Solanum lycopersicum: one gene and its partners. The protein of the gene in region 7 binds, or shares a complex with, the protein of the main gene of each other region. Links are inferred from orthologs where the notes say so. Each region holds a gene or a part of one and is shown on either strand. Other genes may lie near its edges. The genes, in order: large ribosomal subunit protein uL5c, large ribosomal subunit protein uL4c, large ribosomal subunit protein uL10c, large ribosomal subunit protein bL31c, large ribosomal subunit protein uL24c, large ribosomal subunit protein bL28c and large ribosomal subunit protein uL15c.

The links.
Region 1: large ribosomal subunit protein uL15c (region 7) and large ribosomal subunit protein uL5c share a complex: the UniProt entries of both Arabidopsis thaliana proteins name them as parts of the 50S ribosomal subunit. The link is inferred for Solanum lycopersicum from reciprocal best matches to the Arabidopsis thaliana genes RPL15 and AT4G01310.
Region 2: large ribosomal subunit protein uL15c (region 7) and large ribosomal subunit protein uL4c share a complex: the UniProt entries of both Arabidopsis thaliana proteins name them as parts of the 50S ribosomal subunit. The link is inferred for Solanum lycopersicum from reciprocal best matches to the Arabidopsis thaliana genes RPL15 and RPL4.
Region 3: large ribosomal subunit protein uL15c (region 7) and large ribosomal subunit protein uL10c share a complex: the UniProt entries of both Arabidopsis thaliana proteins name them as parts of the 50S ribosomal subunit. The link is inferred for Solanum lycopersicum from reciprocal best matches to the Arabidopsis thaliana genes RPL15 and EMB3136.
Region 4: large ribosomal subunit protein uL15c (region 7) and large ribosomal subunit protein bL31c share a complex: the UniProt entries of both Arabidopsis thaliana proteins name them as parts of the 50S ribosomal subunit. The link is inferred for Solanum lycopersicum from reciprocal best matches to the Arabidopsis thaliana genes RPL15 and emb2184.
Region 5: large ribosomal subunit protein uL15c (region 7) and large ribosomal subunit protein uL24c share a complex: the UniProt entries of both Arabidopsis thaliana proteins name them as parts of the 50S ribosomal subunit. The link is inferred for Solanum lycopersicum from reciprocal best matches to the Arabidopsis thaliana genes RPL15 and RPL24.
Region 6: large ribosomal subunit protein uL15c (region 7) and large ribosomal subunit protein bL28c share a complex: the UniProt entries of both Arabidopsis thaliana proteins name them as parts of the 50S ribosomal subunit. The link is inferred for Solanum lycopersicum from reciprocal best matches to the Arabidopsis thaliana genes RPL15 and PRPL28.

Annotation. Positions count from the first base shown.
Region 1 is NC_090808.1:1,642,870-1,646,187, reverse strand, and holds large ribosomal subunit protein uL5c, read right to left. Parts: upstream 2,096-3,318; 5' UTR 1,927-2,095; coding exon 1,675-1,926; intron 1,247-1,674; coding exon 701-1,246; 3' UTR 501-700; downstream 1-500. UniProt on the Arabidopsis thaliana protein: Binds 5S rRNA, forms part of the central protuberance of the 50S subunit.
Region 2 is NC_090806.1:67,227,853-67,231,266, forward strand, and holds large ribosomal subunit protein uL4c, read left to right. Parts: upstream 1-1,294; 5' UTR 1,295-1,785; coding exon 1,786-2,614; intron 2,615-2,687; coding exon 2,688-2,725; 3' UTR 2,726-2,914; downstream 2,915-3,414. UniProt on the Arabidopsis thaliana protein: This protein binds directly and specifically to 23S rRNA. May play a role in plastid transcriptional regulation.
Region 3 is NC_090803.1:3,526,186-3,528,829, forward strand, and holds large ribosomal subunit protein uL10c, read left to right. Parts: upstream 1-1,211; 5' UTR 1,212-1,315; coding exon 1,316-2,005; 3' UTR 2,006-2,144; downstream 2,145-2,644. UniProt on the Arabidopsis thaliana protein: This protein binds directly to 23S ribosomal RNA.
Region 4 is NC_090803.1:66,609,362-66,611,943, reverse strand, and holds large ribosomal subunit protein bL31c, read right to left. Parts: upstream 1,291-2,582; 5' UTR 1,141-1,290; coding exon 1,072-1,140; intron 988-1,071; coding exon 667-987; 3' UTR 501-666; downstream 1-500. Other genes in the region: mannan endo-1,4-beta-mannosidase 7-like, read right to left, coding at 2,435-2,582. UniProt on the Arabidopsis thaliana protein: Binds the 23S rRNA.
Region 5 is NC_090806.1:68,736,520-68,740,514, reverse strand, and holds large ribosomal subunit protein uL24c, read right to left. Parts: upstream 2,801-3,995; 5' UTR 2,671-2,800; coding exon 2,578-2,670; intron 1,170-2,577; coding exon 1,131-1,169; intron 821-1,130; coding exon 590-820; intron 407-589; coding exon 200-406; 3' UTR 59-199; downstream 1-58. Other genes in the region: calcium/calmodulin-regulated receptor-like kinase, read right to left, coding at 3,775-3,995. UniProt on the Arabidopsis thaliana protein: One of two assembly initiator proteins, it binds directly to the 5'-end of the 23S rRNA, where it nucleates assembly of the 50S subunit. Required for optimal plastid performance in terms of photosynthesis and growth.
Region 6 is NC_090808.1:67,409,465-67,413,558, reverse strand, and holds the start of large ribosomal subunit protein bL28c, read left to right. Parts: upstream 1-1,294; 5' UTR 1,295-1,443; coding exon 1,444-1,660; intron 1,661-4,085; coding exon 4,086-4,094. Other genes in the region: uncharacterized protein, read left to right, coding at 1-443.
Region 7 is NC_090804.1:3,795,317-3,799,390, forward strand, and holds the start of large ribosomal subunit protein uL15c, read right to left. Parts: upstream 2,801-4,074; 5' UTR 2,608-2,800; coding exon 2,527-2,607; intron 2,449-2,526; coding exon 2,091-2,448; intron 1-2,090.

The DNA of each region.
Region 1 (3,318 bases), on a different chromosome or scaffold from region 7:
CCAAATCAAATGACATAGAACCTGAAACCACTAAAAAGCACATTCATACACACTTTGAAAGAAAAAACTCTGTACAATTTGAGCAGAATAAAATGAAGCCAAGGGAATAAAGATTCAGCAACATGGTATATACTATAAATAACTGTGACTTTCTAATATGCGAATATAAATAAACCTTAGAGGAAGAAAGGAGAAAGGTGGGGGATCAGGGAGTAGAAATAAGTATGGGACTCCACAGCCTCACACACATCAAGTGTTAAGCATTAGGACAAATTTAGAAAACGTAAATAAGATATCGCCCGCAAATACTCCTTATCACATACGATAAAAGATAAAAGCAGAGATGTTAACTCACCTAAATGTGAATATGGTGGAGCTAACAAGAGAAACTCTTTGCCTGAAATCAAAGTAAATGGCAGACGAGAAAAGGGAGCGGGTAGGAAATATTTAATAACATACAAATTACAGTAATCAAGATTCATGAATAGTAAAAACTTAACTAGAGATAAAAACAATTCTTATTTTTTTTTTTTTAGAGGAAGAAAACGTAAATAACATATATTCGAGACATCACCAGCCAGATGGTAAAAGTGCAATTACAGATTTTTCTATTCAAATTGTACGCCAAAAACAACTGATAAACCACAAAACAGTTAAAAAACAACAAATCAACTCATTATCCCTGGAGATTGGATCCACCTCATCTCCTAGACCTTTGCTTCGCCTTCGAGTCAAAATGGTGAGCTCTAAGCTTTTTCTTTTTCGTAAAAGTTGTCTGTCCACCAGAACCTTCTCTAAATGGCATACCCATGAGAGCCAACAATCTGTGTGCCTCTTTATCTGTCTCAGCTGTTGTTGTTATGCAAACATCCATCCCTCTTGGCTTACCAAGAGCATCATAACTTAACTCTGGGAAGACACTCTGTTCACGAAAGCCAATGCTATAATTTCCATGACCATCAAAGCTATTGGGGTTTACGCCTTGAAAGTCCCTCGTTCGAGGAAGCCCCAAATTAATTAACCGGTCAAGGAACGAATACATTACATTCCCTCGAAGTGTAACAGCAATTCCAAGCGGTTGACCTTCTCTAATTTTGAAAGTAGCAATAGCATTCTTAGCCCTAGTCTTCACAGGCCTTTGCCCTGTAATTAAGGCCAAATCATTCATTGCTGCATCCAAACCCTTGGAATTTTGTGCAGCATCTCCTATACCACAATTTACCACAATCTTTTCGACCTTCGGAACCTAAAACACGGTTTTTCCACATTCCGTATCAAATCAAATTAAAACTAAAAAATAATAATAGAGTTTGAAGCAATAGGTCAATGCAACTAATATTCACTGTGATTTCTCACTCCTCAAATGATAATAGTGTCAAACAAACTAATTTCTCAGCATTTCAACTCTAAAATTCAACATTTAATCAAACAAACAAGAAACAGTTCAAATTTGTAGATATAAGTTGTAAAATTTGAAGCTAAAGAAGTACATATGCTTTGAAATTGAAATTAACTTGAAAAGTATAATTGAAAATTGAATTTGTGTTTGAACCTGCACTAAGCTTTTTTAAAAACTGAAAAATTTGTTCAATTCCCCCATTTTCCCTTTCCCAAGCCCTAATTTTTATCTGTTCTGGAAAAAAAATGCAATGGACAAACGACTCCTAAGTTTACCTGAAGAATATTGGTGTAACTGAATTCTTCCTTCAACAACGGCACAATCTTTTCGAGGTAATTTGTTTTCAGACGATTAACTTTTTCAGCTTCACTTTTATCCACTAGTACTGTTGCTGAAGCTTTCACCGTCAATTTATTGGACGACCGGACCTTGGTATTTCCGACCGGCAATCGAACGGAGTACGCCGGAAACTCAGCATTGTAGAAAGAGGAGGCCGTGGAGTGTAGAAGAAGAGGAGAAGCCGCCATTTTCTCTGAGCTTTTTCTCTCTGTGTGTGAAAAATAAAAGGGTAATTGGATAAGATGTTCTTTGTGGATATAACAGAGTTCTCTCTACTAAATTTTAATTTGTGAATGTTTAAGTAAAAAAAATTCGGATCCATTTCGCCATAGATTTTTCAAGTAAAATTTTTTACGTGAACATCAAAATAATGATGTAATATTCAGTAAATAAGAAAATGACGATATGATTATTGATAAAAGTGACGAACAATATGTTTCGTCTACTTCATAATGTATGCAATGATGCTTGTTGCACTATCTCTGAATTACCATATTGCTTCAGTGACATGGACACTAATTGTTACGATAGTGAATCTTTTTATTCTATTTTGTTATGCAATACAAACTTATAGTTAGTTTTGATAACTTTTAAAACTTATTAGTATACATTTCTTAAAAAAAGTGAAATATGTTTCCAAAAATTAAGCCAAACATATGATGAAATTTATGGTTAAATGTTAGCTTAAGTTTTGGGCTAAAAATTATTGAATGAAGATCGTATCAAATCAGGAAAATTGTATATAATAGCAAACTGTTAATTTAAATTAAATGTTATAAATATACTTTGATTTAATTGTACCCTATAGCAAACTATTGCTATTTCCGCCACTCTCCCTGGTGGAATCTCGCTCGCCACTCTCGTTTTGTGACAGTCTCACTCACCTCTCTCGTTTTTTATACAAACACAATTGTATAAAATGTGTTTGCGTTTGTATAAAGTGAGAGAAAATTGTATAGATACATATAGTTTTGTTCACCTATCTCAAATCTCACTCACCACTCTCCCGAATCTCCCTCGCCTCTCTCGCTTATTCAAACAGAAACGAAATGTATAAATTGCATTTCTGTTTGTATAAAGCGAGAGAAAATTGTATATACACATGTAAATACATATATCTTCGTCCTATACACTTGTAATTATACAAAACAAATATTCTCCTGCTCAGTTTTCTTTTGTCTTTCTCTTTTTCTCGTTTTATACATACACAAATGGCAGATTATACAATTTATCTTTTGTATACAACTGCTTTCTTTTGTATATGTATAGTGAATTATACAACTGCTTTCTTTGTATATGTATATAGGGAATTATGCATATTTATATTTGTCACCGAGCGCAAGTATACAAACTTTGCTATATCATACAAATATAAATTTTGTATTTGTTATATATGAAATTTACTATATCAAATTTTATTGGCCCAACAAAAATTTTTACCAAGAAAATATTGGGGTCTATTAGACTGGAATGAGGTAGGCCCAAGTCTAAATTGGTTTGTGGGCTGGATAATTTTTTGAAAATTTAACGTCGTAGTGGCCCATTTCATTAAATAAACCTAATCTTTATTATTTAGCCAG
Region 2 (3,414 bases), on a different chromosome or scaffold from region 7:
AAAGTAGAGAATTCAACTAATTTGTCTTGTGATGATCTTGGTGAACTTGAATATTGTTGGATTGATTCAGACATGGATTCTTCAACTCCTAGTGATGATGATGATATGAATATTTGGTTCAAGGATTGTTACTATGATCAAAATGGAGTTGAAGATTTCACTAACTTTGTTGGTGCATGTAGGGAGTTTTCTTGGGAAGAATCTTGTGAATCTATGCTTTATGCGCCTGATGTCTGATATTCATATTGGAGCTCAACTAATCTGGATTCACATTAGTACTGAGGGATTCATTGTTTCCTCGTAAAGGTGACTTTGTACTTTGAAAGATTCAAATCTGAAATCTCTAATTAAGGATGAAGGAGTACTTATAGATAGTCATTGAGATAGGAGTATTGATTAAGACGTTTTTCATGGCAATTGTAAATCCCATATTAGTATAAATTCTTTTTACTAAAGACCTATGAACTTTCTGTTGCTTTTAATTCAATGTGGAATAAGCATAGCTTACCTAATTTTAGGATGTAAGCTGCAGAACCTATTTTTATGGTACATTTGAAATTATTAGTTCAAAATTTAATTGAGTTTGTTAAGTTTCAACATAAGTGGAACGAGGAGAAATTGATTTCTTTATATACTCTTGAACAATCATATCTCCTCGATTTATCTTTTGAATTGAGTTAAATCTAATATGGTATTGAAGTTACGTCCATCTCACTTCATTATCATTTAATATTAGGTCTCCATTTTATATTGCTTACATTCATGATATCTGACCATGAACGTGCAAAGGAGCGTTGAGTCTTAAATTGATTGATAAGCATAAATAATCTTGAACAATTATTTCCTCTTGAGCTAGCTACGATGTTACAGTTAGATTAGATTCAAGGTTTGTTTTCTTAACCGAATTCAACATACGAGTTGGGCTTAGCGTATCATGGAAAAATTGGAAAGGGAAGGCAATATGTAGCAGGCTGCATCAATAGCGCCTCAAAATAAAAGAAAATGAAGGTTTTGGGCTTATGATGGTGTAGCCCCAACTAACAAAAGACTTGATCAAGAAAATTGTATAACTTTTATATTATATCAAAATTAATAAAAATAAAGAGCACATTTCATAAAAATTTTATTTGTCGCTTACGCTCTAAAAAATTTATTTTTTTTCCTACACAAAAGAAGATTTAATTATGTTCTTAAAGTATTGTAAATTAAATAGACATGCCCTTCAACTCTTCGTCAATAGTTTGGCTTATATATGACCTTATCATTTTGAATGTGTTATTAGTCTAAATGAAACATTTGATTAACCTCATTTGTTGATTCATAAGTGAAAAAATTATCAAATATACTCTGACAACGATAAGCATAGAAAGAATAGAATATTTGTAGACCTTATCACTATCTCGTAAAGCTAGAGAGTCTGTTACGTCGTAAAGTTGAAGAGTTCATTGGCGCAAAAGGATCGGTCCTTCACTTGCTGATCGTTCGCAAGTCGAACTCGCTCTCTTGCCACGCCTTTCACTCACTCGCTTGAGACGGACTCAATCACTCTTTGAGTTTGGAGGATTCACTCTCTTGTTATTACCCGCAGGGAGCGCATGTTTCCGCAAATATGTCCCTAAATTTATCAAATATGTGCTCAATTTCAAATACTTTGAGGGTATATATGACTTTTCCATTTTCACTAAATTTATTTGAACAAAGAATATGAATACATTTTGATATCCTTCTTCCTCATTTGTGGATAACCCAATCCATAGGCTTGCAGTTTGCTCCTTCACTGCAAAAATGGCTACTTCTTCTTCTTTATCTTTCTTTTCTTCCACCATTTTCTTCTCTAACTCCAACACCCTTCACTCCTCAAAGCAGCAGCAGCAGAAACAACTCATTTTCAAACCCAAACAACAACAATTCTCCATCCGTTCAGAGGCCGCCGCCGCCACTATTCCAATTCTGTCCTTTGATGGTACCGAAGTGGGCTCCACCACTCTCAACTTAAAATCCGCCCCTCTTGATACCGCACGCGCCGTCGTTCATCGTGGGCTTACCACTGACCTGCGCAACCAACGTCGCGGTACTGCTTCCACCCTTACCCGAGCCCAAGTACGGGGTGGTGGTATCAAACCATACCCACAAAAGAAAACGGGTCGAGCTCGACGTGGGTCGAACCGAACTCCTTTACGACCAGGTGGTGGGGTTGTGTTTGGGCCGAAACCTAAGGATTGGTCAGTTAAGATTAACAAAAAGGAAAAGAGACTCGCGATTTCTACTGCGCTTTCGAGTGCTACACAGAATGCCATTGTTGTGGAAGAGTTTGATGATAAGTTTGAGAAACCGAAGACTAAGGAGTTCATTGATTTGATGAGAAGATGGGGATTGGACCCAAAAGAGAAATCTTTGTTTTTGATGACGGAAGTTTCAGACAATGTGATTCTCTCCAGCAGAAACATTAGCACATTGAAGATGTTGACACCCAGAACTTTGAATCTTTTCGACATATTGGATTCTGAGAAGCTGGTTTTCACTAAATCAGCTGTGGAGTTCTTGAATGAACGATACGGAAATGATGATGATGATGATGATGACTGGGAGGTGGTGGACGAGGAAGAAGAAGATGGTTAGTTTTTGCTTCATTTTGGGTATGAAGTTTCCTTTCAATTTTAGCTAACTCGTTAATTTGCTGCATTCAGGTGGCGAGGTGGAGGAGAGTGCTGAAAGTTCTGAGTAATATATGAACATGGGGCGAAAAGGGTCTGTTCCATTTTAGAGGAGGCTTTACCTTACAGGGAGCTTAGTATATTTCACTTTGAATTGTATTTTATTGTATGATAAAACTAGGTGATTTTGGTTGATTTCATGTCACTGACTGCATTTGTCCATTACCTTCGTTGGAATAGTTTACTCTTGATTTTCGTTCCGCTCTCATTACCACTTTGAGTTCTTGATTTTTATGATAAGAGTGATTAGTTACTTTACTAATTAAGTCTTGTGTTCTGGCAAAACTACATTAATTGCTTAGTAGATGAAGCTTTATATAAGATTTATGGGTTACAAGTTGTCAGCCAGGCGAGATTCAGCAAAGTAAAATGATTAGGAAAGCTTTGTGTTTGAGTCTTAGGCTTGAAGCAATTAAGCAAAGTTAAGAAAAGGAAACCTTTATTTGGGTGGAAAAAGCTTCATCACCTTTTTCTTTAATACAAACACAAAGTAATTGGCAGGAAAAAATGCTCTTTACTTTGTTTTGAGTCATTGGGGGCATATGGGATGCTAAGCATTATTAACCTTGAAACAGACCATATCTAGTAGACTATCTATGGAGGCAGATAACTTGGACATTTGTACTATCAAAATATGTGATGGAGAGTATATGAGTATCTCTAGGCTTTTACTAGAACTTTTGAGTTTAAGCGCTAATTG
Region 3 (2,644 bases), on a different chromosome or scaffold from region 7:
TTATTTTATTTTTTTCTTCAAATCATATTCATGATATTTCTCAAAAAGTAATTATAGATTATTTTTTTTGTTCATTACCGATTATTAATACTTATCTCAAATAAAAATCATAAATCATTGAAAGATTTACTTTTGCTTATTTTATTAATAATTAAACTAAAAATTGAATATACATGTGATTATGCCCCTTAAAACTATGAGACTTACGTCTTGTGTCTCAGGACATACGCCTCACCATATACTATGTAAAAGATTTCACCTCACGCTCTGTCTTTACTATACAGATACAATCTATTCAAATATTATATTTATTAAAATAATATAATATAATATAATTGAAGCAAAGTCTAGGACCTGAGCAGAGAAAATAACAAAAATATCACTTGTGATTTTGATTACATTCAGAAATAATTTTTGAATATTCTTGACTCTTTAAATTTATTTTAAGCCAGCATTTTTAATTGATAAACTTGTAGATACAGATATACATACTTGAAAAAGGATTGACGAGGTGTAGAAGGAATAATATTGAATATGGTGAATTTTAGTAGTAAATAATTTAATTATTATTAATATTTGTATGAGTTATATTTGATAGGAGTATTATTTTATATTTAATATTTGATTTGACGTAAAGAAAATAATCTGTATTACATCAATTTTGAACAAAATTCTTTATTTATATAAGTATCTTTCACAAATATAGTAAAATGATGTTAAAAGAGTTTTGAAGAGCAATAGTGATTTTATTATGCTAATGCATGAATATTTTTTTTTACTAATATCCACATAATTCCATATCTTATATACACCTTAATGCCAAATACATCATATAATATTTGCATTGATTATACTTAATGCGACTCTACTATGAAATTCAAACAAAATTAATAAAATATTTTAATATAGAAGAAAAATTGATATGATTATTATATTATTTTTTTAAAAAAAAATTAATAAAGCATCTGAAAATAATGATAATATATATTTAAAATAACTGATCGAATCATAATTAATATCTTTAAATATAAGATAAAATAATTTTACATTTTATGAAATTATTATCTTTTATATATCATATCAAATCATCTCAAGAATTTTGTTAATAATAATAATAAAAATATATCTAACATAATTTTATAAATTAAAGACGATAAAATATATGTAAATATTACACCTATTTTGCCTTTTTTAACTTCTTTAATGGTTTGTTTGGTATGACATAAATATTTTCAAAAACATAAAGTTTATGAAATACCCCTAAATTCTATCTTAGCACAAAAGATAAGGCAATCCAATTCTCAAGCTATCATCAATGGAGGCTGCTCTCTTCAGCTTACCTTCCTCTTCCTCTCACTCTTACCCATTTTCCGTGAAATCCCACTTCAACAATCCCTTCATAATCCCCCATTCCAGTTCTCACCTCAAACTCAAACCCAGAACTCTAACTATTCGTTCAGCCATTAGCAGAACCAAGAAAGAAGAAACAGTCGAAACAGTGAAGCAACAGCTTGAAGATTGTTATCTCTTAGCTGGAATCAGTTACAAGGGGTTAACAGTTAAGCAATTTCAAGATCTTAGGGCTCAACTCCCAGAAACAACAAAGCTTCTTGTTGCTAAGAACACATTGGTACTTAAAGCAATTGAAGGGACAAAATGGGAAGCATTGAAACCATGTATGAAGGGAATGAATGCTTGGTTATTTGTTCATAGTGAAGAAATCCCAGCTGCTTTGAAACCTTATAGGACTTTTCTAAGGGAGAAGAAATTGGAAGATAATGATTTTACTGGTGGGGTTTTTGAAGGGAAGTTTTATGGGCCTGATGAGTTTAAGGTGCTTGAGAATTTGCCTACAAGAGCTGAGATTTATTCACAGCTTCTTGGGTCTTTGAAAGGACCTGCTTCAGCTGTTGTTGGGACTATTCAAGCTCCAGCAAGGAATTTGGTTATGGTTCTTAAGGCTTATGTAAAGAAATTGGAGGAGGAAGAAGGTGGAAGTCAATAATTTTTGTTGTAATTCTTGGATATGGTAAGCTAATACTATTGTCTATTTGGATCAATATTTGAAATTTTTCTGAGAGATGGAATTTTGTAAATTTTATGTTTTTGGTAGAATGAATTTATCCTTGGCCAATTGTTCTAAATTTGTGTCCTCGTATTTGGCGGATAATTATCTGGATTACTTCATAACTGTTTGAGAGGATTTATGTTATGTGAAATGTACTATTCTGCTCTTTCCATTATCACTGAACCAAGAAAATAGTCTGTATTCCTGCTTCAGCTCACTATATTTGTCAAATATTAAAAGGGCAGCTCGGTGCACTAAGATCTTGCTATTTGCTGAGTTTGGGCTTTGGTAGTAGTCTGGAGGAAGTGTGTAGCTTTATTCTTGCAGTTTCTTGCTATTGTTATATGTTGATCGCACTATATTGTTGACGTTATTGTTTCTTGCATGTATCCTCTGCAGTGCTTTCCTATTACTAGTTCTCATGTTTTCCTTATTGTCGTTTTCCCTTTTTGTTAGTACTTTCATTTACTTCACTTGAACTGAGGGTCTTTTGGAAACAACCTTTGTACCTCCACTAGGTAGAGGTAGGGTTTGCGTACACTCTACCTTCCCCAGACTCCACTTTTTGGGATTTCT
Region 4 (2,582 bases), on a different chromosome or scaffold from region 7:
AAAGCATTTTACACAGTAAACTGCAAGAATGGAAGTGCACCACAGCACCAGTACAACTAACATTAGAACGCTTGGCTAATGCAACCATACAAAAGACAAGACACCAAATCTATAACAGACTTTATTTCATCTTTACTTTGTCAAGGATTCAAGGGACGGCTGAAACCCTGAAACAATCAGCCTTTCCAATCACAGGTATAACATTACACCAAGATAGTGCAAAACGGACAAGTTTCGTTCAGTTTATCAGGTAAAGGGGTGAAAGACAACTCATTTGAAACTATTGAACGTAAACTATGATCAATGAACTACACCTGATCCAAACTGTTTTAAGTTAACACAATTTTTTTGTATCCATTCAGCTCTATTAGGCTCATTACATTCCAATAGTCGAAGCAATAATGGCAATCGAAAGCAAGACAATTCACTGGATTCAACTTAAATGCTCTACCAGCCCAACTAATTGATGAACCATATAACAACAACAGCAAATCCAAAAATTTGAAGAACAAAGACTGAATTTTTATACTTCCATTTTCAAATAATAGACTGAGTTCACAACTGAAACCATCAAAATACAAACACAAAATACACAAAACCCCTAATTCTCCAACAATTTCCCCATTTACGAAACGAACTAAGGGAATTACAAACACACAATAAAGTCTACTTCTTCTTAGTAGGTTTCTTCTTCTTAGGAGGAAGCACAATCTCTCCTTTGAGAGTTGGAATTTGCATAATCTGTGTTAACCCACTAAACTTCTTCCTGAATTTCTCTACCTGGTCAGCATCAAGAAGTAGCTGTGAACGACTACCTTGATAAAAAGGATGATTACCTGACCAAACATCAACTGTGTACTCATTCTTTGTTCCCCCAGTTGTCATCACATGCTCTCCATTACAATATACCTTAGCGTCATCGTAGAATTGCGGATGTATATCCTTCTTCCTGCAGCTCCATCGCATTTGATTGCTCCCAATTCCCATCTGCAAAATTCAATTTTTCAACAATCATATACTTTTTAAAAAAAAAAAAAAAAAGTTATGGGTATGGAGATTTTGGGGAGTTACCTTCTTGGAGGAGAATGAAGGAGGAGCGACATTTTTTTGAAGGAAAGTGTTGGAGAGAGTGAGCGCCATTGTTGGTATTTTTGCAGAAGAAGAATGAGAGATGGAGAAAAAGAGGAACGGGTTGAAGATTAGATTGCTTATCTGAGGATATTGGGCTGTATATTTGATTGGGCTCTACTTGGGCTAGTTTTGTATGATGTTACTTTTGGGCTATTACTTGAAGCCCAAGGAGTAGGTAAGGCCCATTTATGTAAATACTCTTTCAAAAATGGATTAAACTCGTTAGGGTTGTTTGGGATTAGTTATTGATTCGTTATTACTAATTTGATTTCTTGCATAAGTATTGCATATTTTTTTAAGAAAAACTTGTTTGTTGTAAAAATATCATTTACCCTAGTAGAAAAAAGGTTTGACTAATCTCAAAAGTATTTTTATTATTTTATTTTTAAGTAATCGCTGTTTTTGGGTGGGCACATGGTAAAACTCCCGCTCCTATACGTTAGTTCGCAAATCACATAGGAGAAATAATCTGCATTAGGCAAATTCGGTGCGATGAGCTCAACCCAGAATTTACTTTCGCTGGCAAGTGATTTTGAACTTAAGACCTCTAACTTAAAAGTTCCAAGTCTTAACCATCTGGAGAAATAATGCTAATAAAATATTATCTGTAGATTATTTATATTTATACTCATATCACCCACCATGTATAGAGTGTCAATTACGACTTCTTGACCATTGAATTTAATACTATCGGTCTCTCCTCTCCGAGACGTGTAACACAAATTGGCCAATTTATAAATCAAATATCCTCCTTTTTCCTTTGTATCTAGAGTTTACCAAATAGTTTTTTGTTTTTTTTTTTACATATTATTGAAAGATTAATTCAACCAGGCATGATTGATAATAACTTAGTTCGATTATAATCTTTGATAAGAATAAAGTGTTTGAATAAACAGAAGTGATGTTGTGCTTACCGCCATAAGCAAATCCAAGTTATTTATCTTGTCCTACTTTCAATTTTTGTTATCCCACACGTTGTATTGATTCATTAATCTTTTTTTTTAAAAAAAAATAATTTCTTTACTATTATATTTCTTTTTTAATATGCTTTGAAATATCTTAATTTATCAAAAATAAACTCTTCAATTTCATAAAATAAAATCATATGAAATTACACTAGATACATCGATACAATCGATGTTTTTTTTAAGGCATAATAAATCACTACTAGAATACTTCCTCTGACATACAACATGTCGAGCAGTACATTACCAAAAAAAAAAAAAAAAAAACATTATCTAACTTCTTGCTAACTTAAATTAATTCATCTCTAACATAAATTAAATCTCTCTAATTCTCATGATTAATCCTTTAATTTCCTTGCTTTCTTCCACTTCTCTATATTCTTCAACCTTGCATACATTTTTCTAATCTTATTAAGCCTTTTAGATTGCTGAATAATAATATCAGAAACAGATGAACTTTCACTCAATATAATCTCATATCCATCT
Region 5 (3,995 bases), on a different chromosome or scaffold from region 7:
ATTGTATTCGACCCATTAACCATCAAACTCTAGTACGTAATAGTACTGGCAAACAGAATTTTTGAGTAAATGTACTTTAATATAAAATCTTATGTTACTGAGTTAAAAAGGTGAAGGTGACAACAGAATCATAATATATCAATGAGAGAAGATTCAAAATTAGCAAAATCGAACTAGAATTTACAGACCAGTGGATCTCCTAGGAAGCAGCAGCTACTGCTTCTGTTGTTTTCCCCTTCTCTTTGACTGCTTTCTTCCAGTTCTCTGCACTATCGATGATTTCCCCAGTTTTAATGAGGTACCGGACTCTTTTTCCATTGTCTAAAGTTTTGTGACCAACCCGACTGGCTACCTTCTGCTCTTTTGAATAAAGCATCACGTTTGAGCTGTGAATAGGAGCTTCAATCTGAAACAATAACAACAACTACGTCTCAATCCAAACAACTTGGGGAAGTTCAATCTAAAATCTTAACACAAAGTTTTACTTTCTTGTTAGGGCAAAGATGAATTCGATGCTAGCCACGACGAAATGAAATCTCAAGATAACAATTTTTAGGCAAGATAGAGAAGAAAGAAATCGAGATAAAACCTTGACTATCTGGCCTGGTTCCTCCTCACTCCGACTCTTCACATGCTTGGTTTTCAAGTTCACCTCTTTTACTACTATTTTGCTGTTGTGCTTGATGATCTCGGTAATCTCTCCAATTTTACCTTTGTCATGGCCGGAGATTACCTTTACAGTATCACCCAGCCTTACATGCATTTTGTGTAGTACTGGAAGGCTGTTTGGCTTACATTCTTTACGCTCCCATCGCTTAAGCTGCAAAATAGACATAAAAAGAAGCTCTTATTCAATGATAAAGCTAATTCTAATCACAATTCTCATTAACTGTTGTTTCAGCTAAAAGAATATCATACCCATAAAAATTAGTACCAAAGGTTTAGCAATACAAACATTTGGTGGCCATTTTTAAAAGCTGTTGACAAGTTAGTTCGAGCACTTCCTTCATTACATCATAAGTTATAAAAGAAATGCATGACCACATTAACAGCAACCCTATAAAAGTAGTTGCCGGAAATGTCTATCTCGGACAATATACTAAAGGACCAAAATGGATCAAGATACCAACCTTTGCTGTAATCAAACATGGACCTTCTGCTGATTTAACCTGCACGGCATTATATGGAGATTGTCATTAAAGTGGCAAAAGATTATCCAGTTTTACAGTTGACACAATAAAAAGTGACAAACTGCGTAAGGCGTGATATACATCCAAAAAGTGTTAACCGAATAACAAGCAAGTGCATTTTCTGGAGACAGATCTTATTCCATATTTGCTTCCAATAACTTCTGATTATACAGGTAACTATAATATGAGAACGATTTATTATCGAGGAACACAGAGGCATATGTATAATATGGGTTCAGCAGCACCCAGTAGCTTTAACTCAGACCCTATATATGTATTAAAAAATTGATAAATATGTCCAAATATTAAAATTTCGAACCTTAAGTCAAATACAGGGTTCATCCTATGTTAGAACTTGGAAGACATCAATCACAACAGAGGGGGTAAGTTTAAGTTAACCAATTAGCATATTCTTAATATACTTGACTTTTTGAAGAACTTTTGAGGAACTACTGTATCAAATTGTAGATGTCTTTATATATAAAATTATTCTCTTGCAGCTAGAAATACACTGTGTTTGGTATGTAGTTCCAACTTTCCTGTGTTACGAAAATATTTTCTTTAGGAAAACAAGTTCAAGTTCAAAATAAAGAAAATGACTTCCGTAGTGGAAGTAAGAAAAACAAGATGGATAAGTAGCATTTCAAGTTATCATCACCCAATCCCTCCAACTCCCACTTCTTGACCATATCACGTCCGTCCATCCCCGAATCCCCACTCCCCATCCCATCTCGCCTCCATAGTATTTTGTTGGATATATAACATATAAATGCTCTTGGAATAATATTATCTAGCTTAGTTACCATATAAACACTAGAAAATTAGTAAGTTCCACATTTGTTTTCTAGGTAAACATTTTCCTTCGTACCAAACACGCAGTCAAAACTTATAATAGCGAAAAAACATATGATATGAGAAAGGACTCAGGTAGCAATGGTGACCAAGCAGAGAAAAAGTTCACAATATATTGTAATCAAATAATATAAAATTAATTTATAATCAATAGTACAATGGAAATGGATACCTTTGTTCCTATGATCCCTAATACATAGAAATCAAATTATTCAAACAAAGACCTTTCACAAAGACAATTGAAATTGAGATAAACAGATAGGATATAGCCTAGTGGTCAATGCAGTGGTGAACAACTACGATTTATTGGTTCAAATCACAATACACTAGTTTATTTCTTCGCATTTATGTAAGACTGGATGGAGAAAGTTACTTGCAACACAATTCAATTCTGGCTAGAGGTAGCAGGTATTCTACGTAATTAGTCGAGTTGTGAGCAAGCTGGACCGAATGATACAGTTGTAGAAACAAAACAATTAACATTTGAGATAGTTCAGTTTGAAAACCAGATAGTTGAAGTTATGAGAAAGCATACCAGAGGAAGGGAGAGAGGAGGAGAGAAGCGTTGGCCGAAGAAGGAGGTGGAGGAGATGGAGAGACCAGTAAAGGAGCTCTGCAGAGCCGCCATTGTTCAAAACCTTCTGCAAAATCCTTTTGTTGAAGGAAGAAACAACACTGAGCTGAGTATTTGGATAGGATAATAAAAACCAGAACCTTCGTCTTCTTCTCTCTCTATCCCTGGACACCCGATCCAACTTAATTGGACCTTCAACGGGTCGAGTACGGCCCAATTATAAAGTCCCTTTTCAGCTATTTCGGGATTGTGGATTAATTACGAAAATCTCACCTTTTAGTTTAATTATTATCATTATCCCTTATAAGTTTTACAAATTTCTAAAATTTCACAATTTTCATGCATCACATCAATTTCTATCGCGAATCATATTATTGTATCCCGCGCATCAGATTAGTGTATCATGTATAAAAATGTATCTCGCACATTAGATTAATGTATCTCGAGCATCATATAGTGTATCATGTATAAAATGTACCTCGCGCACCAGATTAGTATATCTCGCGCATCAGATTAGTGTATCATGTACCTCGCGCATCAGATTAGTGTATCATGTATAAAATGTACCTCGCGCATCAGATTAGTGTATCATATATAAAATGTACCTCACGCATCAGATTAGTGTATCTCATACATTAAATTATTGCATCTCGCGCATTAGATTAATGTATCAACGCTTGTATTATTGTATCCGTTTTGAAGATTTTTTGTAATTATAAATTTGTAAAGTATCAATTTGCCCTAATTTAAGAAGGGAAAAATGATCAAGTTTTAATGTTTTATAGGTTGACAAAACATATAAAAGACGAATTGAACAAATAAATATATTGAAAAAAAGTATCGGGGGATTAAAAAATAAAAAAAGCTTGGTTCTTTTTTAATAAAATTAGATTGAATAGGATACTAATGTAGAAGAAGTGGAAAAGCCTGATCTGGGATTTTCCCCGTTTTCTACCATTCATTAACCTTCCACGCAAATTTACAAAAACTTAGAACAAAATTGGGAACAAAGGCTATCATACACTCAGACTATAACATACCCCTAAGTATCCCAAACGAACTCACCAAGACAAAAGTGTGTTTTTGTAAATAAGAAACCTAACAACCTGACCAATTTTACAAGATGAAACAAAAAAATAAACAAATGGAAGAACTGAGTTAAACTTCATACGAGTCAGCTGTGCTATCTATAGATTCAACACGTCGATGTCCAGAGATTGGATTCCGATGATCTACTTGTTCAACATTGATGGTAATCTCCTCTGCTGTTGCAGATAAAGATCGCTTCTGGCGTTTTCTTTCGTGTCTAGACTTGAGTATCCTTGACAGAACCTGCACAGTGTCCCTCATGGAAGGCCGTTTCTTGGCAGCACGATTCA
Region 6 (4,094 bases), on a different chromosome or scaffold from region 7:
CTCTACCAGATGACAGTAGTGTCTCTGCTCAAGAGACAATCTTCCAAGAAAATCTCGAGGTTACCCGTACTGGTATGGTTTCAGAAAGGAAAGATGAAAATGCTAATCCCAGTCCACTGGAGCATCTTGAGATAAACAATGACTCACCAGTTAAGGAAGCAATTAAGTCAGAGGAAGACAATGGAAATGTAGACGATAGACCTTCTGAACCAGAATTCTCATCGAAAGAAGAGTTGGATGCTCCAGAGGAACTTGAGAAAAAGGAAGAAATCCCTATTACTGAAGTGTTTGATCCGGGCTGTGTACTTGTGGAGTTTAGAAGAGCAGAAGCTGCATGCACGGCTGCTCATTGTCTACATGGACGACTGTTTGACGACCGAATAGTGACTGTGGAGTATGTTCCCCTTGATCTCTATCAGACAAAGTTTGCTAAACAAAACTAATTTCTTTTGGCCCATTCAAAACCTTATGCAGATCTCCCCAAACTTGAACGACGTTAACATAGGATTTCACAATGCTTAACTGAATGTTTGTTTGCAATTTTTACCATTATTGAGATGCCTTGGTGTTAACCCTTTTGTTAGTGCGAGAGTCGTACCCGATTTGAAGCGGAATACATGTTTTCTCCCAGATGTAGAATGGGATGAAGGAATGAGCCATTGTATTATGTCATCTAAAAATTATGAACTTTGTTTTTAAGTTGCAACAGTTTACCTACTACTTACAATATACAGGAGCACAATCTTATGGCTTCTTGAAATCTTTTATTTACCTTCTTATTATTTTGCCTTAATGTCTTGTGCTTGTAGTTCTAAATGATGTTGGTCACTGACTCAGTTGGACAGTTGATGGGATAACAGATTTTAGGGGTTGTTTGGTTAGAGAGATAAGGACATTCATAACATAGTGTGATTGATTTGAAGATAGTAGAGACGTTCAATATTATAATGATTTGATTTTGGTCTATTTGTTTGGTTTATCATAAGTGGAACCTGAAGAGGGAGAAAACGCTTAATATTATAATGATTTGATTTTGGTATAGGCTTAATAATGATTTGATTTTGGTATAGGCTTAATACTCTCTTTGTTTGGTTTGTGATATTAGACTTCCACGTGAGTAAGTAATGGAAATAAGATTAAAGCATAAACTAAGATAACACAAGTAATGCAAATAAAATTAAAGCATAACTATGATAACATATTACTTCCAAATAAGTTAGATTTTGTTATTTATTTATTCTTTTATTTAAATCGTTTGATATTATTAGACTAAAGGAAAAAATAAGTTAAATATATAATAACAATAAAAAAAAATATGAAGGCCAACAAATAAAATCATTACCCACATCCATTTCGTTATCCACTCTTCACTTCCTTCTTCAAAAAAAAAAGCAACATTCTTGAGACAAAAAAGATTCTTGCTTTGAGGAATTGGTTGCAAAAATGGCGACAATCACAGCGGGTATAAGCCTCAGAGGACCAGTAGTGGGTGGTTACAGGACATTTGCAGTGACCAAAAGGGCTTTACCCAAGGTGAAATTCAGCTCAGAGTTGAGTTTTGTGACTTCTCAATTGAGTGGCATCAAGATTTCAAGCACCCATTTGAGCTCTCCTGCTTCACTTTCTGTTCCTTTCAAGACAGCCCTTCAACCTGTTGCTCGTAATTTCTCTACCCTTTTGTTGTGTTCTCTGTGTTTTTAGTTGTTGGGGTTGTTTCTTTTTTGGTCTAGTAATATGCACATGAACTGTTTGTTGTTTTGTTTGTTTCAGTGAATTGTTGGGTTTTAACAATATTGTGAATTGTGTGTAAGAAATTGTGCTTGTGGGGAGGCAGTAGGTAACCTTAGAATTAGTCGAGGTGTGCGCATACTGGCCATACACCACAATTGTCAAAAGGAAATTGTATCTGATAATTTGAAGTTTAGTTAAGTACTTGTTACTTAGGGTAATGGTTGTTGAAGTATGTGCAAACTGACCCCGACATTACCATTATTTAAAATAAAAAAAGAGTCTTGGTGCAATTGCAAGGTTGCTCCTTTGCTGACCTGAAGGTTACGAGTTCGAGGGGCGGAAATATTAACTTTGTAGACCTATTGATGGTAGAGGTGACATTTCAGCTTTCTGAATTTCAATTAATTGGATCACATGCAAAGGGATACTGTATGGTATACACCTTCGGTCCCTCTACCCATGAAGTAGGGATAGTAAGTTCTTCTTGAACATTGATGGGGAAAAAGGAAAGATGATAACTTTCAAATGTTAATACGATGAATCATCATTTTGGTGCAGGTAGCCTTTTTATTTGTGTGTGTGTGGAGTGGCCGTACTCAAAGGGTCACAGGACCGAAATCATCATGAGTGTTACTCAGATAATTGCTCATTCCATACCTGAGACCCCATTTAGTAGTCGGGTGTCTAGAATTCAGATATGTGCTTTGTGTTGATAGCACATTACGTTAGATTGTTTAGTACCAAGTGAAAGTTAGTATTGCTGATATGGGATGAAAATTATCCCTTACAATGTGGAGGATCTGAAGACATAGCCAAAGTTGGAAAAAGTTTGATTCAGTTGCAATTTGCAAACTAAATATATTGTTTTCTTGAAATCTGTGGTATGGTAAGCTGAGCACTTGACATTAATCACATATTATTAAGTTACATATGATAATCAATGATTAAAAACCATATTATAGTTTACTATCTAAACAACTTCTTATATAACTTCAAGAGGAGAGATTAAAGGGGTGTCATCATTCCAGGGGTTTAAAAGTCTGTCTACAGTCGCAAGAAATAGGGATAGGACAACCTCACCATGTGCAAAATTAACAAACTGGGAAGAGCTTGATGGACTACAGCATATTGATTAAAGGGAGCTGCCGCGTTAACTGCATTAATAACAACAAGATCAATAAAATACGGTATATAGTTTGGAAGTTTGTCCATAGTTGTCTTCATATACTGAATGATCCCTAATTTTTCCTCCTTGGCTCTTTGTTCTCTGACTTAAGGATTGCCGATATTTAAGGCATAACAGATTGTCCAAGTGAAGAATTATAAATTATTTCATGATAAATTTCTTATATAGATGGTATCAACAGTTTTTTGGTTAACAAAGTTTGCATTCCTTTGCTGCAATTCATAGACAAAGCTGCAAAAGAAATACTATATGCATGAGAAGATATTATAATTCTTGTCGAGGCCTTTTAGGTCTCATTAAAAACTGACTGCAGCCTAAAGGGAGCTTCATTTTCTTGCTTTCACCTCTCTTGATAATGAGCAGGATTTCCATCTGCCTATTCTTCTCTCCATGAAACTTGCAGCCTAATAGTGAAATAAAAGCTTTATGAGATTCAAAGCTTATGAAAGTAGATTTCTCGCTATCAAGAATATGTAAATCCATTTACCTCTCAAATTCACCTTCTGCATTTTTTAATATTTATTTACCCACCTGTGTCCTTATTACAAGTGACCAAACTAGTTAAAAAGAAGACGAAACCAATAATGAGAGGCTGAGAGAGTGTGTTAGCTGCAGATTTGGAAGGAAAAATCTACAGAACTTGAATCTTCGGTGTGTTCGCCCCTCTGGTGTACATTATATTTTGAATATGATGATAACAGCTTGGTTTAATTCGTTCTCATTGTATGACAACAAATTGTAAAGGGTTGACTTACCTTTTGTGAAATCCAGTAATGGCAGAGTATTTGGCTTTTAGATCACTGATGAAGCTTTAGTTTACTAATCAGAAAGCACATTATGAGAGTCATTAGGAGCACTATATCACTGACACTCTTGCTTGCTTTGACTCCCTTTCTAAGTTGCTGCATTTGTCAAACTGCATCCTGAATTCCTTTGTTTTTTTAGTCCAAAACTACTTAAAGCCTTTGAGCTAATAGGTAAAATAAAACAAATTAGGGACAAGAGTAATCAAATATTCCCAGTGAAGCATCCTTTGCCTTACATCATCATGATCTTTCCTTTCCCCCCCTGCTTTCCTGCATTTTTGTCGGTTGTGCTCGAATATCTTGGCGCCTCTTTATGATAAGTAGCGTATAGAATATTAAGAGAATACATTCTGTTTTTTCAGGTAGAGTAT
Region 7 (4,074 bases):
GTGGTAAACATGTAGTAGATAATTGCTTTTGACAGATTAGCCTGACTTGAGGGAAATCCTTAACTAAATCAACAAAACACATAATGAAACAAATTAAAAGACGAGATTGGAGGTTTTACAAAGAGCACTATCAATTACTTCAGTTATTAAGTTAGAATAGCCTAAAATAGTCAAAGTTATAAAAATTAGACATGGCAAGGCCTAATCAGTATGAAAGGCCTAAGAAAAGTAAGAACTTATTTTTTGACACACAACTCTAGGTGTGAGTATCAAGGTTCAGCATTATATAATGCGAATGGATACAAGTTACGCCAAAAATAAAGGACAGTTATGAATCATCTTAGTAATACCAACAACTTGACATTGAAGAAAATACTTAATCAAACGCCATGCATAAGGGAAAGTGAAGACTACTCAAGAGCCACACTGAGACTAGAGAGTCAAGGCACTGACATTCTCTTCAAATCAAAGGAAGAATAGCCCTTTGACTCGAGGGCCTTTTTACCTCCTTAGTATGAACTTTCCAAATCCTCCTCCTTTTAAAATAAGTTTCCTGCTAGGGGAAGGTTAGGAAAGGACAGATTTTATATCCGCTGATTCGGTTTATGATGGCATAAGGAGCATTTGTTCGAGTGAGAGCTCCTAGAATGTTCATTTTGCAGTAAGAAACTTCTTGACAGACGTTACACCTGGTTGGATGCTTGAGCACATTTCTCTCATATCGATCAAGGCTTTCCTTTTAGTTTAAATAAGGGGGTAACAGTCTTCGGATTATAGAGGAAGATAAAAATGTTGAGGATTTCAGAATATTGCAAATAAGAAAATAAGAATTTCAAGATATTTGCCTTGATGTCATATAACTATGCATAGCTTTATTTCTTAGTGCAATATATTGATCATTTGTAATAAATTTCTTTAGATTAATCATCAGTACAGTTTGAGTATGCATACACATATGTCCACCAGATGCAGATAAGACTTTTTATCATCCTATGAAAATCTGCCTCTGCAATGACACAACCAAAAGAAAAACAAACATGCTTGTAAACAAAGATACACACAGTGCACCCAAGTGAGTGGCGTAGTTGTTAATGGAGTTGGTTGAGAACCATAATGTCTCCTGTTCAATATTCATTTATCCAAGCCTTTCTGGATAGAGTTATCCGCTCAGCAGCGCATTTACTATTTGGAGATGGATGACACCAGGCAGGGCAGAAAAAAGAGTTTGTATTCCATTAGTTGAGGAATGAAGTAGCAAAGGAATATCCAACACAAGTGTTGGCAGGAAGAAGCAGGTACCCGTGGAATTAAGTACATGACAGTGTTATCAAATCAAAAAAACTCTGAGGACCATTGGGACTAAGCATAAAACGTGAATAAAGCATGATCTTTAATATAAAAAGGAGCAAAGGGAGAAATACAAATACATATGTTTGTTTAGTCTAAGAATAATAATTGTAAGCATGAATGACAAATATATGAACAAAGAAATTATTTTTTTTACTATTAAGTGAAATATCAATTGTTTAGTGTTGCCTAAAGAGACTCAAAAGAATGCCTAAGAAACTTGATGACGACCCTGAAGAGCACATTAAGCAAGACAAAGCGCTCAACACATTTTGAACCTCGCTTATGCACAGCTTTGACAACACTACTGCATGCAAGGTGCCCCGAACACAAATATAAAAAAGAACACATAGTCAAGTTAAAGCTATAAATTTTATAACACTTATCCATAGACTTTTAAATGGTAAACTATAACACTGCAGATGGACACAGAAACAAACAACAAAACAAGGAAAAACAAAATCCAACTCAAACTAAGGGGTCATTTGGTACTAGGGATGAGATAGACAAAGTTATCCCATTGATTAGTATATCCCGAGGAATTAGTTATCCCGCCATATATATATGAGATAACTTATCCTATCATTATCTTATAAAAATGACAAGATAGATATTCAGGGACTAACTAATACCCCTAACCAAAGGCAATCCAACATTTTATCCCGAGATTATTATCTCTTATCCCTTGTACCAAACGACCCCTGTGATAATATAATTATGTTGAAGCAATGTTAACAAATTACCTCCAGCAATTCCTCTCAACTTAGGAAGTCTCCTATAGAGAGGCATTTGACCCCCTTCAAACCCCTTTCTAACTCCAGGTCCAGACCTTGATTTTTGACCTCTCATACCAAAACCACAACTACCCCCTTGTCCAGCTGAATGCCCTCTACCTTTCCTCTTCCTATTCTTGGTAGCCCCAGGTTGAGGACCCAAGTTATTAAGCCGAAAACGAACACTCCCAGTTGCAGAATCAGCACCAAAACTTGCAGTTTGGTTGAAAACAACAAATGGGGTTCTTGTTATTGACTTAGATTTCAAATTGCAGACCTTTATTAAAGGCAAAAGCTTCGAACTTGACTTCAAATTACTTACATTACCCTGAAAAAAATTGATGGGGATAAATGAGAATTGTATAATTTTGACAGAAATTGAAAAATTAAAGAGGAGAAATTGTACCTTGAATGATGAAGAAAACTGGGTAATGATTGAATTTGTTCTTGTAGGTGATGCAGAGGAGATGGAGAGTAGAGACGCCATTGTTGATAAGGGAGAACTCAGGATTGTGTTCACTGTCCAAGCAAAAAGTGTTTTGACAAATTTTAACGGATAGGGGTGGTTATTTCAGGGACTTTCTTTTCTACTTTTTAAATTAGTTTACGAGTCTATTATCAGGTGTTCGATATTTAATTCGATATGTGTGTATTACACTTCATTTTGAGGATCGTGGTCTTTTTTGCTTCCAACATGATGTTTGATATTAGTAATAGGCTTAAATAAAATTTGAATTCACACACGACTGGGCACATTTTTAGAGGGGACTTTCCTAACTGATTTTTTTCATTTATGGGATTGAATTTGAAACATATGATTAAGAAAGAGAGATCTAAACGCTCGCTACAAGTCATATTAATTACTAACATGTTTGATTACTTAGTCATTGATAAATTCTATACGAGGGTTATTAGTAATTCGTCAACTTCTTTTTTAGATAGTAATCTTTCTTTTCTTCCTCTTTCGTCATGCTATACTCCGATGAGGATTACTCTTATAATGTTCTGCTTAAGAAAATTTAAAAGAATCTCCTTAATCCTGTCTTACTCCGCCCAAATTTCTGTATACATTCATTAATCAGCAAATTATAAAAATGACTACATTTATAGGATTTATCAAAGTTCAATAGCTACAAGTATGTTATTTATAAAAAATGAATACAATTTATATCTTTTTCTAGCTGTATTAATTCTTTAAATATTATTATTTTTCTATTTATACAGTAATACAAGTTTAATTACAACAAACTAAATAAGGAAAATGTATTAATTGTGTACAGTTAGTATATGAATACTTTGAATTCAAATTAGTATCTATATTTATAAAACGTAAAGTGTATATATATATATATATATATATATATATATATATATATATCAATGATACAAGTTTTTGTAAGAATTTAATGTATCAATATATATATCAAACAAGTTAAAGTATGACAATTAGCATATGAACACGGCTATTTGAAAAATGAATACATTATTGTTGTTCAAAAAATGAATGCAATATAGTATACATATGAATACATTGTGTTACTAAATCAAAGATGGATAAATTGGACAACGTAGAAACAAAAAAATAGAAAATAATAGAATGTGTCGGTATCAAAGTATATAAGAATTCGCCTGTATAAAAAATTGATAAATAACAATTGCCAATCTCTTTTTGGTAAGTGATCCTGTAATACATGAAGCTTGGTGTTAACTTAGGTATTTATAAAAATATAGTATTAATGTATCCAATTGTACTTGTATTGCCTAATCAATCTTGTAAATTGGATAAATTACTTATGTATCCAGATATATTTGTATTTGTAAATCACCATTTTCAACGAGTGTTAATATTATAATACAAATATCTATGTATATAAGTATTCTATTTTATATATATATATATATATATATATATACACACAAATTTGACAATCACACAAACCTCCATCTCTTTTTA